Cricetulus griseus: one gene and its partners. The protein of the gene in region 3 purifies or fractionates together with the protein of the main gene of each other region. This does not show direct contact. Links are inferred from orthologs where the notes say so. Each region holds a gene or a part of one and is shown on either strand. Other genes may lie near its edges.

Evidence for each region.
Region 1: the proteins of Bag3 (region 3) and Hsf1 purify together in Homo sapiens (affinity purification with mass spectrometry; 3 studies listed by BioGRID and IntAct, with this or other methods). This does not show direct contact. The link is inferred for Cricetulus griseus from reciprocal best matches to the Homo sapiens genes BAG3 and HSF1.
Region 2: the proteins of Bag3 (region 3) and dnaJ homolog subfamily B member 6 purify together in Homo sapiens (co-immunoprecipitation; 3 studies listed by BioGRID and IntAct, with this or other methods). This does not show direct contact. The link is inferred for Cricetulus griseus from reciprocal best matches to the Homo sapiens genes BAG3 and DNAJB6.
Region 4: the proteins of Bag3 (region 3) and Pdlim7 purify together in Homo sapiens (affinity purification with mass spectrometry; 3 studies listed by BioGRID and IntAct, counting the BioPlex papers as one, with this or other methods). This does not show direct contact. The link is inferred for Cricetulus griseus from reciprocal best matches to the Homo sapiens genes BAG3 and PDLIM7.

Annotation. Positions count from the first base shown.
Region 1 is NC_048595.1:373,768,731-373,772,976, reverse strand, and holds the start of Hsf1 (heat shock factor protein 1), read right to left. Parts: upstream 2,809-4,246; coding exon 2,692-2,808; intron 1-2,691. Other genes in the region: ribosome biogenesis protein BOP1, read left to right, coding at 3,194-3,286. UniProt on the Homo sapiens protein: Functions as a stress-inducible and DNA-binding transcription factor that plays a central role in the transcriptional activation of the heat shock response (HSR), leading to the expression of a large class of molecular chaperones, heat shock proteins (HSPs), that protect cells from cellular insult damage.
Region 2 is NC_048601.1:92,980,039-92,984,281, forward strand, and holds the start of dnaJ homolog subfamily B member 6, read right to left. Parts: upstream 2,809-4,243; 5' UTR 2,652-2,808; intron 1,674-2,651; exon of another isoform or gene 1,315-1,673; intron 1-1,314. UniProt on the Homo sapiens protein: Has a stimulatory effect on the ATPase activity of HSP70 in a dose-dependent and time-dependent manner and hence acts as a co-chaperone of HSP70. Plays an indispensable role in the organization of KRT8/KRT18 filaments.
Region 3 is NC_048596.1:72,277,277-72,281,434, reverse strand, and holds the start of Bag3 (BAG family molecular chaperone regulator 3), read left to right. Parts: upstream 1-1,355; 5' UTR 1,356-1,484; intron 1,485-1,628; exon of another isoform or gene 1,629-1,856; 5' UTR 1,857-1,968; coding exon 1,969-2,154; intron 2,155-4,158. UniProt on the Homo sapiens protein: Co-chaperone and adapter protein that connects different classes of molecular chaperones including heat shock proteins 70 (HSP70s), e.g. HSPA1A/HSP70 or HSPA8/HSC70, and small heat shock proteins (sHSPs), e.g. HSPB8.
Region 4 is NC_048596.1:274,497,957-274,502,076, forward strand, and holds the start of Pdlim7 (PDZ and LIM domain protein 7), read right to left. Parts: upstream 2,809-4,120; 5' UTR 2,685-2,808; intron 1,741-2,684; 5' UTR 1,730-1,740; coding exon 1,634-1,729; intron 1-1,633. UniProt on the Homo sapiens protein: May function as a scaffold on which the coordinated assembly of proteins can occur. May play a role as an adapter that, via its PDZ domain, localizes LIM-binding proteins to actin filaments of both skeletal muscle and nonmuscle tissues.

The DNA of each region.
Region 1 (4,246 bases), on a different chromosome or scaffold from region 3:
CTGGCTAGTAGGTCAGAAACATGTTCAGGAGCTGAGGAGATGATTAGGTAGGAAAGAGAGCTTGCTGCACAAACATGGGTGTCTGGGTTTGGATTTCCTAAGTGCCCATGTAAAGCTGGGTGTGGCTGTGTGAGCCTGTAAGTCCAGTGCTGGGTGGGGTAGAAAGAGAAGGACTGTTGAGGCTTGCTGACTAGCCAGCCTAGCTGATAAAAGGCAAGCTCCAGGTTCAGTGAGAGAAGCTGTCTTAAGGGAACAGGGCAGAGAATGTTAAGAGAGGACACTGGATGTCCTTGCCTTTATATATATTTGCTTGAGTGAGCATTCATGAGTACACACACACACACACACACACACACAACACACACACACACACACACACACACACACGAAAATACACATTCATCTTCAGAACTAGAAGAAAATTAAACCAAACAAAAATCACCACCATCTGTACTCTCTCGAGCCAGACAAACTTATTTCTCATGTTTCTCTTCAATATTTCTAAAAAGGACTGGATAAAATGATCTCATAAAATTGGGATCAAGCTAGATACAGGTTCTGAGCTTTTGTTTTTTATTTAGGTTTGTTCCCCCATTTCAGAATGCACTGAGGTGGCTCTCACTTAGGAGACAGAGGTAGTACAGCACAAAGAAGAAAGGGCCAGTGTTTATCCAAGTATTGAGCCCTACTTGCTGCATCTCTGGGTACTGGATTTGGAGGTGCCTTTGTACAGGTAAAGAGAAGCCTACTGAGGAAGGACAACCCCCATCTATGTGCACGTACTGTATGGATCTCACTGGGATCCTAAATTTCCCAAGGCTGTGCTGTCCTCTGGGATCTGTCTGGGGAAACCCCTGGATCTCCTGAGGTCCCTGTTCTGGTGAAGCACCTGTAACTGAATGAGGGTCAGGGATGGGAAATCAAATACCACTGAGCTAGGGAAAGGTAGTGATCTACTCTGTGTCTAAGTGGTAGGGATGAGCAGCTAGACTTAGCAAGGCTCAGAAAAGAATTTTGGGGGCTAGACACGCTTTCCCATGTATCCAGCCTCCCTGTTCCCTCCAGGAGGATATGTCTGAGAATAGTGAGAATTCTGACTGGAAGTCACTCAGACTATGAGTGTGGATCCAAAGTCTCCAGAGCAGTGGGCCTGCAGTGAATGCTGTTAAGAGGCTACCAAGCCAGTATAAGTGCCCACAGGACATGGGGCAGGAGTGGCGGAAGCATCATTTCCTATCTGTGGACCAGAGAGCTCCATTCAAGGAGTTCTGCTGTCCTTGTCTGGTCCAGACAAAGGTGTTCTTCTTCCACTTCTATGTCGGAGCTTGGTTGCTATACTCATGATCATGCCAGCTCCCATGGCCATGTCTCATACCAGCTAGAGCCCACTGCTGCTTTGTACAGACTACTTGCCCATACCTCCCCACATGCCAGCAACGCTCACAGGTGATGTGCAGCTGGGGCTGGAGGGAGGTCACAGGGCAGATCAGATCCATCTTCACACTGAGAGGCCCCCATCAGAACATCCTGTCCTAGAAGAATGTTCACTGGCACTTCACCCACATCTGTACCAATCTATAAGCAGAAACAGCAGGGAGATTACCAGATAGGATGGAGCTTCCTAATAGGACTACGCTCAGACCATTCCAGAGAACACTTGGTATCCCTACTGGACCTAGGTAAGGAAGCTCCCTTTCAGTTAAACAAGCAGAGGTGGAAAGTTGGGGAAAGATAGAGGAGAGGTGGTGAACTGAAGATGGCCTTCATGAAAACATACTGCTCCTTTCCAGGACTAGGTGAGAGAAAGACCCATAGAGAGCCAGTGAGGTAATCACAAAGACTTTGTAGTGAAAAGTGAAGCTCCGTGGTTTCTAGTCTTGGCAGAGCAGAGTTTAAAGAAACAGGCAACTGGGAGGCAGAAGCCTTGGCCTCTACCTTCCACCCTGGCTTTGCCATTCTTGCCAGTTTAAGAGACTAGTGTGCAGGAGGGAGGGCTCAGCAGAGCCAGATTTGGCTTGTAGGAGATCAAGTAGTTGGCAACTAGCCGTCTCCACCCTTCCAAAGGCTCCCTCGGGATCAGGATGGCCTGTCTTCAGGCCATCATTTGTTAGCTCTGAGCTCTAGCCCTCACACCCAAGATGTGAACAACAGACTCTACTTTTCAACTCGACACAAACGCAGACCTATTTCTGTAAGCCAGAGCTGCTGGCCCAGCAGGGTCTGTGGTGTATACAGCCCGCTGCCAGGCAACAGAAGAGGGCTCGACGCCGCCCTACCAGGGCCGGGCAAAAACGCTCTGGCGTCTGAGGACTATAATGGATGAGCTTGGGCTTCACATCCTCCTCTCTCGCTCTTCTGTGCATTCTCTAGGCCCTCCACTTAACTCTGAACGGTTGCCTACAAGCAGAAAGGCAGACGGACTCTGGGAAGCTATTCATCTATGAGTCAAAGAACCTGAACTGGAAGCCCCGACATCATCGTCCCAGTGAAACTTAGGACTCTGGTTCCCGGCCTACTCTCCGCCGAGTGGCTCTGGGGGCGGGGCTCACTTCCTCCCCAGGCAGCGGCGTTGTCCCTCCAGGATGCCTGAACCCGGGCAAGCCCGGCTACCCTTAGGCCTCTTCTTAGTAGGTCCCCTCCCGGAAGAGGACCCCACTCTTGAAGGCCGCTCCGGCCCATGCCAGCTCCTACCGGGCTCCAGCAGATGAGCGCGTCGGTGTCCGGGTCGCTCACGAGGGTCCACAGCTTGGTCAGGAAGGCCGGGACGTTGCTGGGCCCCGCTGCACCGGGGCCCAGAGCCAGATCCATCTCGGACGAAGCGGGTGGAGGCTGGGATGGCGTTCTAGAAGAGTGGTTAAGGGCTGAGCTAGTGTCGTCGCTGCCCCTGCTGTCCGAGCCGCTCCGCCGCCCGCTGCGCACACACAGCAAGGCCTCGCATGGCCGCAGCCATCTTGCGACCGGCGCGCTCTCGCTAGGGCCGGACCTGTATCCCGTGTGCGCAGGCGCTGTGACCTGCCCCGCCCACTCCACTGGCCCTGCCCTTGGGCGGCCCACCGCTCTCTACGGCTGCGCAAGATGGCTTCACCCCGGCTGCTCACCAATCAGAGCCTGGTTGGGCGTGGCGTGTCTGAGGGCACACGAGGCGCGCTCGCTGCCGGAAGCGACAGTCTATCGGTAGCCGGCGCGGCGCAGCATGGCGGGGGCGTGGGGTAAGCCCCACATGTCACCAGAATCGCTGTCGGGGAAGCGGCGTTTGGAACCCGACCAGGAGCCGCAGCCACAAGAGGTAACCTCGAGGTGGTGGGTCGCATCCCTCTGTGAATCAGGTGTGCACGTGGCAAAGCCAGGGAGGCCGGACCCTGGTACTGTGTCTGGTGACTGGGGGGTCGCCTAGAGCCCGGAAGAACCTCGTCCTGTCCTGGGTGTTATTTTGGAACCCTCAGAAAAGCACTACCTGCGCCGAGGGCCGCTAGAACGTGGCTTGAACCTTGTTAAGGAAGGAAGAGACCTTTAAGAGTGCCTTTCACCACAGTCTCTGAACCTTCCATCTGTGTTTCCTGCCCTAGAAAAGATTTTAGTTGTGTTACCATGCCAGTATGTCAAGTGTGTTGTGAAATAAAAGAGGACATGAGAATATAGAAGCCTGAATGGGACCCAGGGCATCCAGTACTGGTTGTCAGGGAATCATTGCTTCTCCTTGTTGCTGGGCTACTTAGACTTGCTGGTGAGGCTCCAGCAATCTAGGTGGTAGAAGGCACGCACAACCATGTCTCTTACAGGTGACTCCACAATCATTGGCTGTTCTCTTGTTTTATTAAATGTACCTAAGCTGTTTCCTACATGCAGTTCTAGGTAGTTGGCCCTTTGTAGTCAGTTGTTTGTGTACTACTTTTACTTATTATTGTGATATGTGGCTGAGTTTTGGAGATGTCAGTAGTAGTAAGAGAATCACTTGAGCTGTGAATATTTGGTAATGAAAGACACTCAGCTAGGCAAGAATTATCCAGTGGTAGTGGCACACATCTTTAATCCCAGCACTGAGGAGACAGGGGCAGATGGATCTCTGTTAGTTTGAGGCCAGCCTGGTGTACATATCGAGTTCTAGGTTAGCCAGGGCTGCATGGTGAGACCTTGTATTAAAAAAAAAAACAAAACCATGAATCTGAAACCCAATTAAGACTTAACTTAGCCTATTGGAAAAACAGTGAAATTGAAATTTCTGCAATTACATGGTTCCTAAAGAGTG
Region 2 (4,243 bases), on a different chromosome or scaffold from region 3:
TTTGTCAGGGTCTCTCTATGTAGACCTTACTGACCTCAAACTCTGGAGACTAGCCTGTCTCTGCCTCAAGAAATGATTTCTTTCTTTTTTTCCAAGATGGTTTCTCTGTGTTTGCCCTGGCTGTCCTGAACTCCATCAGTAAAACCAAACTGGCCTTAAACTAGAAACCATCCTGCCTGTTTGTCCCAGTGCTGGAATGAAAGGTGTGTGCCAGCTGGGCATTGGTGGCGCACGCCTTTAATCCCAGCACTCAGGAGGCAGAGGCAGGCGGGTCTCTGAGTTCGAGGCCAGCTTCTCCAAAGCTACACAGAGAAACCCTGTCGGGGGTGGGGGTGGGGGGTGGGGATGGGGGGTGGGGGGGGTGCCACCGCCAGTGTCCACCCTAAAACTCGGTGATATGATTCCATCTTTCACTTCTCCAGGAGGCAGGAACTTGATCTACAGAGCAAGTTCCAGGACAGCCAGCACTATTACACAGAGGAGACTTGTCTCAGAGACAAAAAGAGGCCAACTTCTCAAGCTGTGGAGCTGGGTCAACTGGCCGAATAATTTGGTCGCACAAGTCTGACAACTTGAGTTCCACCCTAGTAATCCATGAAAGGAGGAGAACTGACTCCAAAAGTTGTACTCTGGGCCAGGCATGGTTGAACACTACAGGCAGACACAGGTGGATCTGTGAACTCCAGACTAGCCTAATCTACATACCAAGTTCTAAGCCAGCTAGAGCTAAAAAAAAAAAAAAATGAACCCTGTACCCAAAAGAAAATGAAGAGGACAGAAAAAAAAAACGGGGTGGGGGGTGGGGGAGAGAGACACAAAACAACAACTTAATCCCAGCACTCGGGAGGCAGAGTCAAACTGACCACTGATTTCCAGAGCTACAAGTGAGAGACTAAAATCTAAAAAACAAAAAAGAATTAATTCAGATATGGTACTGTAGAGCTATATAAATGCAGAGGGTTGGAACTAGCAGAAGAGAGACTGATGGATGGAGGATTCCCACATGTGTGCTGTAACACTCGCTTCATAACCACACAAAGTGGGAGCTAACTTCTTAGCGGGGTGTGGTGAGGCACCCCCTTAGTTCCAGCACTGGGGAGGCAGAGGCAGGCAAATCTCAAGAGTTCAATACAGAGTGAGTTCCAGTACAGCCTAGGGCTACACAGAACTCCTGTCTCAAAAAAGCAAAACACAATGCCAACTTCTTCAAAAAGCAAACACATGAAAAGCCAAAATTTCCAAAGTCTGCTGTGGAAAAAGTGATGGGAAGAGAAATCACAAACATTTCTTCCTTTCTATCAAATCAACCCGTACCTACACAAAGGCAGCATATTTCTTCCCAGATTTCTTATTTCTTCTAATTCCAAAGGTCCACTCGCAGTTCACGGCAAGTGTCTGCACTGATCACTGGCGGCGTAGTAATCACACACCGGAGGGCAATTCCCCCTGTGGTGGGAATTGCCAAAGAACTTCCCAAAGAGAGTCCCGTAACAGATGTGCTCAATTACTTCACGACCAACGTTCAACGACTAGGATGCATTTTCGTTAGGGCCGTTCCCTTCTTGGCTGCTTAAGTCTAGTTTTTCTACTAAAGTAGCTGGCTTTTAGTAGCCATCACTCCCCTAGCAAGCAGTAAGTACGGAGTTCAATTCCCAGGATTGCAGGGCCTAGAAAGGGGGATACAGTGGACTTACTAGCCATAAAACCTGACCACAAATCTATGGTTCAAATAAAGACATTAATAAAAACAAAGTGAGTGCATTGGACCTACACTCTCCACCTGCTTGGGCGTGCCTGAGAAAGTGGGACCATCCCCTCCGTTCCCTTTCGACAATTCACACACAACTTCGGTAAACAAGTTTTAAAATGTCTAACAATTCATTCTATAAAATAAAAACCGCCAGCCCCCCCCCCCAGTTTTTTGTTTTTGTTTTGTTTTGTTTTCAGGACAATCTTAAGGCTTGCAGCGTAGGGTTCCCTTTTCCACAGGACCGAAGCGAATTAAGACTTAATGTAAACTTCAGTTACATAAACTTTTAGTTACATAAACCCACAGCGAGGCACCCTGGAAGGCTAACAGCAAACGGGTTTTGAAAGTAAACGGCGCCCAGTCAGGTCGCCTAGCAAAACTTCCCAACAGTCCTGGGCCGGGAGAGCCCGGCCGGCAGCCTGAGCCCGTGAGCGCGCCTCCCCGGCGAGCCCCGCTCCTCTTCGCCTGCCACCTGACCCCCTCGCTTGCAGAATGCACTGGGGACGCCAGGACAGGGTGACACCGGCCTCGCCGCCTCCCGCGGCCCTGTGGCGGAGCTCGCGCGTGCCGGGCCCAACCGCCACTACAGCCCCGGGAGGCAGGGAGCGGAGCCCGGCCGGGGCCGGCTAGGCCTGAGCGGACCGGCACGGCCTTCTCCACCGAGCCGGTCTAGACCCGGCCCACGCCAGGAAAGCCCCAGGCCTCGGGCCGCGACGCCGGGCCGCCGCTCCGACTGGAGCCCGCCCGTCCGGCCCTGGCGAGCGGCCCCCCGTCGGGCCGGCGTCCCCGCGGCCGTGTGTGTGTGTGTAGGCGCCGAGCAGGTCACCCTACCCGCGCCAGCCGACGGCCCGCCCCGCCCGCGCAGTGGACCCTGCCGTCCGCCCGGTCCGCAGCCCCTCACCGAGGACGCGGCGGCCGGCGAGGGGGGGAAGTCGGGCGGCTGGTCTCCTCGCGGCTCTGGCACAGCTGCGCTGGCGGCGGTGGCGGCGTCTCCTCGCGCTTTCCTTTCTCTCCTTTTCTCCAACAACAAACAGGAAGTGCGTCATGCGGTGGCGGCGCGGCGACGTCCACTTCCGCCCGGTCCTGACGCCACGCATGCGCAGCAGCGGTTACCGGCTCGGGCTCGTGCCGGATTCGAAAGCGCCCCCTTCGCACTCGGAAGAACCTGGCAGCCTTGGTCGCGGATTCCGTGGAGTCGCTAAGGAGGAAGTCGAGAAAGCAGAACGAGCGGGAAGCGCCACCCTGCGCTAACCCTCGGTTTGGAGACCTCCGGAAGCCGGCGGCGACTCCCGGGCGAGCCTGCCTGACTGGCCCCGGGGCCTGCGGTTGCCCGGAAGCAGACTGGGAGGAAGGACGCTCACGGCCTCTGTGGAAACTGACCCATAAAGTTCGCAGATAGCGAGCGACCAGATAGATAGCTTCGTGTGACTCACGCTCTGTGGACGTGGAGTTGTAGTCATGAGGTTTGGAGGAAAGGCTCGCACACTTGAGGCTCTGCCAGGCCGACAAGCAGCCCCGATTTAGGAGATCCTCCTTGGTGTCCCTGTCCCCAAACTTCATCACTTATTTGGAGCAGGAGAGACCCGGTCATCACCAGCATGGAATGCCAATAGAATCCACTGTCTGATTTTCAACGACCTTCTCACCACAAAGGATGTTTTTCCCCTGTTCTTTTAACCCCCTTTGGCTTTCCGTTGAATGAAATCTTTTTCCCAAATGTTAAACATTGACCCCTCCAAGGCCCAGCACAGGCTAACCGAACATTGTACCCGAGGGCCCAAACCCGCCCTCTTTTAAGATGAGGCGCCTCTTGAGTTTCAACCTCTGACCTTGAACTTTCCAGCTCAAAACGGTTAAGTCCCTGGAATTGCAGGTTTTGTTTTACAAACCTCCACCAGGCTCAGTTTACCCGAGATGCTGGACAGAAGGCATTTTGCACATTTCTTCTGCTCAGTAATAAGAAACAGCAGTTTCAGTGGGGCTTCCCCAAGTGTGGCTCATCTACCTAAAGGCTCAACCTCCGAAACTAAGACCTTAGCCTTAGGGACTAAGGTCAATACCACATTCAGTCTGCCCTGACTCTAAGGGTCCCGTGCTCTGGCTGATTCCTCTCAGTTGCCCACACCCTCTGCGCATCTCCCCGGTGGAGAAGTTATAAGCTTCTAACGCTAACAAGAGTTCTGAATATTGATGTTCATGTGCTGTCCTCCTGAGCACAATATCGTATATACTTTTCTTTTGTTAATGTGCCTACTGCACATCTATTTAATAGACTTGCTAGATAAAAATTACAACAGGTCGTCCGGCAGTGGTGTCGCACGCCTTCAGTCCCCACTCTCGGGAGGCAGAGGCAGGTGGATCTCTGTGAGTTCGAGAACAGCCTGGTCTACAAGAGCTAGCTCCAAAGCCACAGAGAAACCCTGTCTCAAAACCCTTCCCCCCACCAAAAAAAAAAATTACAACAGGGCATTTTCATAGACTGAGCTTTTTCAC
Region 3 (4,158 bases):
CAGGTACTGTACACACATGGCGTATATACACACAAGCAAGCAAAAACTTCCATACATGTAAAATAAATAAATCTTTCTTTTCAACAAAACAAAACAACAACAAACAAAAACCCAAGACATAGCCAGGCCACACACCTTTAATCTTAGCATTCGGGAGGCAGAGACAGGCAGGCACATGTCTGTGAATTGGAGGTCAGCCTGCTCTACAGAGAGTTAAACAGCAGCCTGGGCTACATAGGTAGACCATGTCCTTAAAAAACTCATTTGTCATTCAGTAGTCAATAAACATTGATCTTTATTCTTTTATGGAAGATGGACTCTGGACCCAGTCATGTGCTGGGTGGATTCAGGCATAAAGAAGTCAAAGACAGACACTGGCCAGTGAATCTAAAGAGTCTAGAACTTTCTATATGACTATCAGACGATAAATCAGTACACCCACATTTGGGCTTACACATCAGTCCCAGGTGTGTTTGGTTACAGAGGCAGTCCCTGAAGGCTAGCCATGCCAGTACTTATACTGAGGCTTTGGGGCTTCAAGGTTTGTAAGGAAGTCTCGGAAATATCTGGCAGAACCCTCTAGCATTTGCTACAAAATAAAAATCTGAGGGGAAGAAGAGGCCAGAGATGGTATCTTTGAAGATTCCCTAACATTCTCTGAATCTGAGTTGGGAAATTGGACTGAGTATTAATTAGTTCAAGGTGTTCCTACAGTAAGGGAGTGAGTCTAGATGCCTGAGAACCTTAAGTGTATCCCCCCACACATTCTCTCTCTGGAGTGCTCTGGGAACTAGGAAGGCAATAGGATTAGGAGTTGATTGCCATTTAAACAAACAAAATTGCAGGGTTTGGTTTCATCTTTACTTTCCGAATCAGAGTCCCCCTTTACTATTAAAAACAAAAACAAACAACAAACTCATTACAAATCCCAGAGAATAAAAGGCTAGTCACTGGAAGAAAGTGTCTATACTAGAGAAGGCCAAGAGCTTAAAACCGTCACTTCTTTGTTCTTCAGGTTTCCAAAGCAGGCAGGTGAGTTTCAACAGTACTTCCCTTTCTTCCTTCTTTCTGTCTTTCTGTCTTTCTTTCTTTCTTTCTTTCTTTCTTTCTTTCTTTCTTTCTTTCTTCTTTCCTTCTTCCTTCCTTCCTTCCTTCCTTCCTTCCTTCCTTCCTTCCTTCCTTCCTTCTTTCCTTCCTTCCTTTCTTTTTTTGTGACGTCAGACCAGCATTCCAGAACTCCAAGGGAGCAGTCTCAAAGTCCTTGAGAGAAACGTCACTGCAGGACGCCAATGTCCCGGAATATTAGCGTACTTGGGCGTGGGGGCGGGCGAAACTTTTCCAGCTTAAAGATGATTTAGTCCCTCCACAGAGGCGGGGCCACAGTCACCCGGCCCCCGGACTGCCAGGCCCGGGACACCGCAAGCGGCCCGAAGGAGTGGCGGTGACTTCGGAGATCAAAGCCGCCTTGAGTGCACAGGACACCGGTGCGCGCCCATCCGTCGTGAGGCGCCCAGGGCCCGGGACGCACACGGGACAGCTGCTGAGAGGGACAGGAGGGGAGGAGGAGGAGGAGGAGGGGGAGGAGGTGGAGGAGGTGGAGGAGGGACGGGTGACAAATCCCCGCCTCCAATCCCGCCCACGGTCCCGCCCTGCCGCGATTATAGCCGATGACTCAGGGCGGAGCTCCACATCCAACCCCCGGCGACCGCCAAGTTCTCTGGATGGGACCAGAAGTTTCTAGCCGGCCAGTTGCTGCCTTGCCTTTATCTCCTCCTTCCCCTTTGGCAGCAAGGAGTCTATTTCCAGACACTTCCACCCCTCTCTGGCCACGTCACCCAGTCCTTTAATTCATAAAGGTGCCCGGCGCCGGCTTCCCGGACTCGTCGGCGACGCAGAGGTGCCAGCACTCCACAACCTCGTGACTGACCCGCGCCCTAGCTCCGCGCCCCGGGCGGACCCCGACCCAGCATGAGCGCCGCAACCCAGTCTCCTGTGATACAGATGGCGTCCGGCAACGGAGCCGGTGACCGAGACCCCCTGCCTCCGGGCTGGGAGATCAAGATTGACCCGCAGACCGGCTGGCCCTTCTTCGTGGACCACAACAGTCGCACCACGACATGGAACGACCCGCGCGTGCCTCCCGAGGGCCCCAAGGTGAGTCGGACTCGCAGTTCCACCTCGACGGTGAAGCGGCCCGCTCGGGCCGGGGCTATGGGAGCTACCCCACCCTGCGCCCTGCTGCGCCAGGAAAGTCCCTTCCCGTACCCTCCCCGGACTGGCGTCGGGCCCTGGGGGAGCCTCCGGAGGGGTGGCCTTGGAGGGTAGCCAGCGAGGTGCGACCCGCGAAGTGACATCGGGTCGTTTTCAACAGCTTCTTGCGAAGGGCAAAGGACGAAGGGCCGGCGGCCAGAGCTGCGGTGCGCTCGGTCCCCGGGAGGGGCGGCCGGCCGGCCGGATGAGTGGCTGAGGCCCAGGCCTGGCCCGGCCGCTGCCTTTCTGTCCCGCAGCCTCGCGTGCTGAGACCCTCTCCTCCCTCCGGTGCTGGTGGCACTCGACCCGGCTTGCAGGGCTGCTGAGGTGGAGTCCTTTGGGGTTTTCACCTTCAAGTTCCGAACTTACTTTTATCTTGACTTTGCTGGATCTCAGGCATAGTGACTCAGTAGGCTCGAGAAAATGGGTTATTTTTCCCCCTAAATTTAAAATTAAACTTGTGTTACTGATTGGAACAGCTTTCAGTTGAGGGGACGCTGATGCTGCTACTCGTCACTCTCTCTTTTTTAAGGATAATCTTTCTGACAGTTTCAAAACTAGAGATCCGACAGTGCCTTGCATACCTAGCCATTGCCTCACACTGGAGAGAAGGAGAATATATTTTTGATGGCGTAATTCTTCCTTGTTATTATCCAATTAAAATACTCGAAGTTTGTTACAAGAAACAGCTGAGGAGTCTTGTGAACCCAGCAGGTGTATGCTTCATTTATGTACATTCAGGCATGTGTACTTCAACGTCAAGAGCAAGAAAATTTGAAAATATGAATTTGAAAAGAAGCCTAGCTTGTTCTTAAAGGCCTGTCACCCCAAAACTCAGGAGGCTGAGGCAGGAGGGATCTTGAATTCAAGGCCAGCATGGGCTACATTACCAGAGTTTGTCTCAAAAAATAATAATTAAATTTGGAATGAAGCCAGCCTGTGCTGCAAAGTTAGACCCTGTCCTTGGAGAAACAATTAAATTTTGAACAAAATGCTTAAAAATACAAATTTAGGTAGGATTTTTAAATATATCATTAACAAAAGTCATACTTAGCATACTAGTCAGTAATAATTTATGCAAGTTTGATCCTTTCCAAGTGAAAAGTTTGGTAAAATAAGCACTGTTAAAGACTCTAACCTGGGCATGGCGTGATGGTGCCATGCACCTTTAATCCCACACTCAGGAGGCAGAGACAGGGGGATCTATCTCTGTGAGTTCAAGGCCAGCCTGGTCTATAGAGAAACCTTTTCTCAAAAACAAACAAAACAACACCAATAAAAAAATCAACCCAAGCCAGGTAGTGGTGGCACACGCCTTTAACCACAGCACTCAGGAGGTGGAGGCAGGCGGATCTCTGAGTTTGAGACCAGCCTGATCTACAAGAACTAGTTACAGGACAGCCTTCAAAGCCACAGAGAAACCCTGTCTCAAAAAACCAACCCCCCCAAAAAAAAAACCCAACCAAACAAACAAAAACCTTATTGTTGTGTGAAGAAAATAAAAACAGTAAAAAGTTGATATAATATTTGGAATTTTCAAAAACTCACCACATTTGGAATGCTTTAGAAATCATTATTTTAGAAAACTCTACCTTCATTTTTATGCATGTGGTGCTGGGCATTGAACCCAGGTCCTTGAGAGGCCAGATAGACTCTTACAATTGTTGCTGTGGCCCTGTTATCCAGCGGAGAGCCATGTCCTCAGCAGTTTACATTTACAAGGAATTAATTGTATATTTATTCCTGGCTGTTAATTGGGTGGGCATAATCGCATGTGTCTTGTGTGTGTGTGTGTGTGTGTGTGTGTGTGTGTGTGTGTGTGTGTCTGTTCTACCCACTTTACATGTTCTCTTGTGAAACTAGCCCACTTTAGACTGCATGGGGAGTCCTCAAGAGACCCACAGTGTA
Region 4 (4,120 bases), about 200 Mb from region 3:
AAGCCAGGGGGCTGGACAGCTTTATGGATGTGGGTGAGTCAGCCTGGGAGCTCTACTGAGCTGCCCAACCCCCAAATCCCAGACATTACCTCATTTTCCAGGCCTGGGCCCACAGCCAGGCCTCGCCCCTCCTTCCTCCCTCTACTCTGGGGTCAGGGGAGGGATAGCAGGCTGGCCCAATTTAGGAAAGACCACCCCACCCATTCCAGGGCAGGGCTCAGCTGGTAGCCCCACCCACACGTTAAGGCTGCTGACAAAGGAACCCAGGGACCAGAGTGCCTCCAACAGGCAACATCTAAGAGGCCATCGTTACCCAGGAAGAAAGCAAGCCCTACACCACACTGGCCAGCACTCCCGGGAGGAGGGAGATGTAGGATGTGCATGGGGGGAGGGCCCACTGCCTTAGTCACCCTGCTGGTTGGGGCGGATTCCAAGAGGGCCCCAGGGAAGGGTCCTGGGAAGAACGCAGCCTGTTTGTCTGTATGCCTGCCCTAGCCTCGATGTCCGATATCTGATGTCCAGCTCCCACTGAGAGATGCAGCCTTGACACCCCTCTCAGGCTGAGCAGTGTCGGGAAGTTCTCAGGCCCCTTCGGGCTGGGCTTGCCTTGGGCTTCCTGCCAACAGCTGCATGCCTACTCTGTGGCTGGGTGGGCCTCTCTAGGCAGGAGGCTATCAGGGCAGGAAGTCCCTGCCCCTTTTTTGACCCCCTAGGCCAGTCAGAGCTACCAAGCTGGCGCCCTGGCCTCACCCACTCTGGCACAAAGTTTGCTTTGAGTCCCACTGACACAAAATGACTGATGATCAGGTGAAGGGCCCACCAATGGCGCTAAGGGGCCTAGACCTAGGCCAACCCTTTTGGGTTCTGTTGACTGGCCACTGTTGGCCATCCCAGCTGGGGCTACATTCTTGGGCTTATAAGGCAATCCCCCTGCCACAGGGAGGAGTCAGCTCCCAGCCCCACCCCCCATCAGGGCAGACTGAAGAATGGGAACAAGAATCCTGGAGGCTAGCCTCACTACACCTCTGCTTAGGGTCAAAGGTCACTACAGCCTGACCAGAACCAGCAGGCTGAGGACCTGAGTCTCAGCCTGCTCAGTCCTCACTCAGCTGGGAAGAGACCCCTTAAACTTACAGGAAGGACAAGCCATTTTGTGCCTCAGTTCATATTCTTGCTCTGCCAGGGACTTGCTGGTTGAGCTCCTCCATCCCTCCAAGTCCTGTCACTTGGCAAAGCAGGATGACAACTGCTATGCCTTGGATAGCAGTGACATTAAAGTTAGGTCCTGCCTGGCACCTGGTGCCACACACTGTTCTTCATGCTAAAGCACTTCTTGGAGACATCAACCTCCCATATTGTAAAATAGGCTTCTCCTTGGCACTCACAGATGGCCAAGGGGGCTTGGAATAGCATCAAGTACCATGTCAAAGCAGGGCAGCTGGGGGGGGGGGGCTCCCCATTCCACTATCCACCTAGCCAGGAGTCCTTGAAGTAAGGGCCCATTTGGACCTGGATGCTGGTGTCCTGTTGGCCCCTGAGCAGCTTGCTCGCTCTTGCTGTTTCTTCCCACCATTTGCTGGAAACATGGGCACCCAAGAACCCTTGGGGAGTGCATTCCCCAGTCTAGGCTTACCCGAGAGATGGAGAGGGGCACATTGAAGTCCTTGCCCCCTTGCAGCCGGAAGCCCCAAGGTGCTGGCCCCTCCAGCACTACCTTGAAGGAATCCATGGTGCCTGCTCCTGTGAGGACAGAAGAGAAAGTGAGTGGCCGCACCCAGCACTGCAGATGGCCCAGCAGGTCCAGATCTGGTCACTAGCGTTAGCCAGGTACCAGAAGGCACAGAGAGACGCTCAGCACACACAGGCACTGGGAGGCAGGTATCTTGTTGGGTTTGGCGGGGCTCCCGGCTGGCAGACCTCACAGGCAACAGACAAGTCAGTTCCCCACCCTGGCCCCTGCCACTGGGAGGGTGAGCAAAGTTCTCATCAAGTCTAACTTCTTTTCTCTCCCGGGGGTGGGCTGTGGGGCTAATTGGCACTGCTTCGCCCAAGCTAACCTGGAATCTCAGGAGGGCGGCAGGGTGAGTCAGGGGCCAGCTCCCCCTCCTTCCCCGGGTCCCAGCAGGCCGCTGGAGCCTGCTCGGACTATATAAGGCGTGTAAGCTGACACTGTGGAGAGCCCGTGGAGGGAGCACTTTAGGGGCTCGGGACGTGAGGGGGAGGGGCGAGGAAGGAGGCCGCTGCAGCGGGTCCTAGCCATTTTGGGACAGGTCGAGGCTGCTGGAAGCCAGGGTGGGACCCCGGGCACTGCAAGGGGGGTAAGAAACGGGGCGCTGTCCCCATGGAGAGTGGCGGGGGTCATGTCCCTAACGCGCGGCCAGGGAGGGGACTCTTTCTGGAAGCCAGTAAAAGTGGTGGCACACACGCACGAAGCTCCCTTCCCAACGTGACTCTGTTTCCCCTCGTCTCCAGCCCCAGCCCCGCGCTTGGTCGCGTCCCCACCGCACACGGTGGCGCAGGCGCCAATCAGCCGCACCGCCGCAGGAAGGCGGGGGCGGAGGCTGCGGCCGAAGCCAACCGAGGGGATCCGGCGCAGGCCACGGCCGCCACGCCCCCCGCAGCACCTCAGCGGGCCACGGGACCCCACGGGGTGCAGCCCAGGAACCCCCCGCGGCCGCCAGTACCTGGGTGCCCGGCTGGGCCGCGGCTCGGCGGCCTCCGGGAGCCTTGCTGGGATCCGCGCTGCGCTCTGACCCCGCCTCCGCGGACGCCGCGCCTTTTGAGCCCGCGGAAGGGGGCGGAGCCCTAGGCCACGCCCTCCCCAGGCCACGCGAGTGGACATCCCGGGGTCGGTGCGAGGCCCCACCCCGTCCCCAAGCCCTGAGTCTCCAGGACAGGGACGGAGGGTCGCGCATTTACCCGGGCAATGACCCTCCCGAGCCTGGTCGCCGCCAGCCTGCGCCCCGCTCCGGGCTCTCACCCAAGCCCCTTGCGCCTCCCACTGGCGAGGGGGAAGAGAAAGCAGCCTTTTAAAACACCCCGGCTGTAGAGGTCTTCTCTCACCTCATTCTCCCCTTGTAGGGGAGAATAGCCTCATAATACCCTTCTGTCAGGGATACGGTACAGGTCAAAGCGGCCGTGGTCCGCGCCACCGGAGATTTCAGAATTTCTGAATTCCAGGGAATGGAGAAGCAGCGAGACAGGGTAGTTGCAAGTTAGCTTTCCCGGGGCTGGGGATGTAGCTCAGTGGTAGAGACCCCTGGTTCAATCCCCCAAACCAAAGCCAACCAACCAACCAAAGCTAGGCTTGCAGGATAATCTGGAAACCAATACATAAGGAAATAAATAATAGATAAACAAATAAATAGTAAGAGCCAACGGAGTTGGAGGAGGCCCTTAGCCCCACATGGGGCCTGACAGTAAGAGTCCATCCAGACAGAGCCAGCAGTCCACAGCTCTGCGACATCCACCAAGCACCACTATTGGGACGGACTGTATCCCCTGAACACCCCTCCCGAGCACACAGTCCGTCCTGTGGGGGTGGGGTGGAAGGAGCTGTCACGGCAGAGGGAAGGAAAGCCGATTCTCCTGAGTGTTAGAGTGAATGGTGGGGGGCACGACCCCCCCCCACGCCCTCCTACCATCCTTACATACATCCCCCTTCCCCAACATTGTCCCGACGGCTCAAACTCCTGCAGGAGATGTCATCTTTGAAGAAATGCTCCTTGGTACTCTGCTGTTCTGTCTGCGTTGCTTTTTCCTCTTGCTGTCCCTTGTCTCTATGGTACTCGAGGTCTCCACGACCTCCATCAAGTCAGCTGCAGCCTTCAGGTCTCATCCCGTCCTGCTGAGGCATGCTGGTCAAGGCCAGGCCGACCACTCCCTTTCTCCATTGCTTTCTTTTCTTTTAAGATTCAATGCCCTCTTCTGGCCTCTTCAGGCACGAGGCACACATGTAGTGCACATATTAACATGCCGGCAAAACACTCATACACATGAAATAAAAGTAAAAAGAAATAAGGGTCCCCGTGTAAAACACCCATACACATGAAATAAAAGTAAAAAGAAATAAGGGTCCCCGTGTAAAACACCCATACACATGAAATAAAAGTAAAAAGAA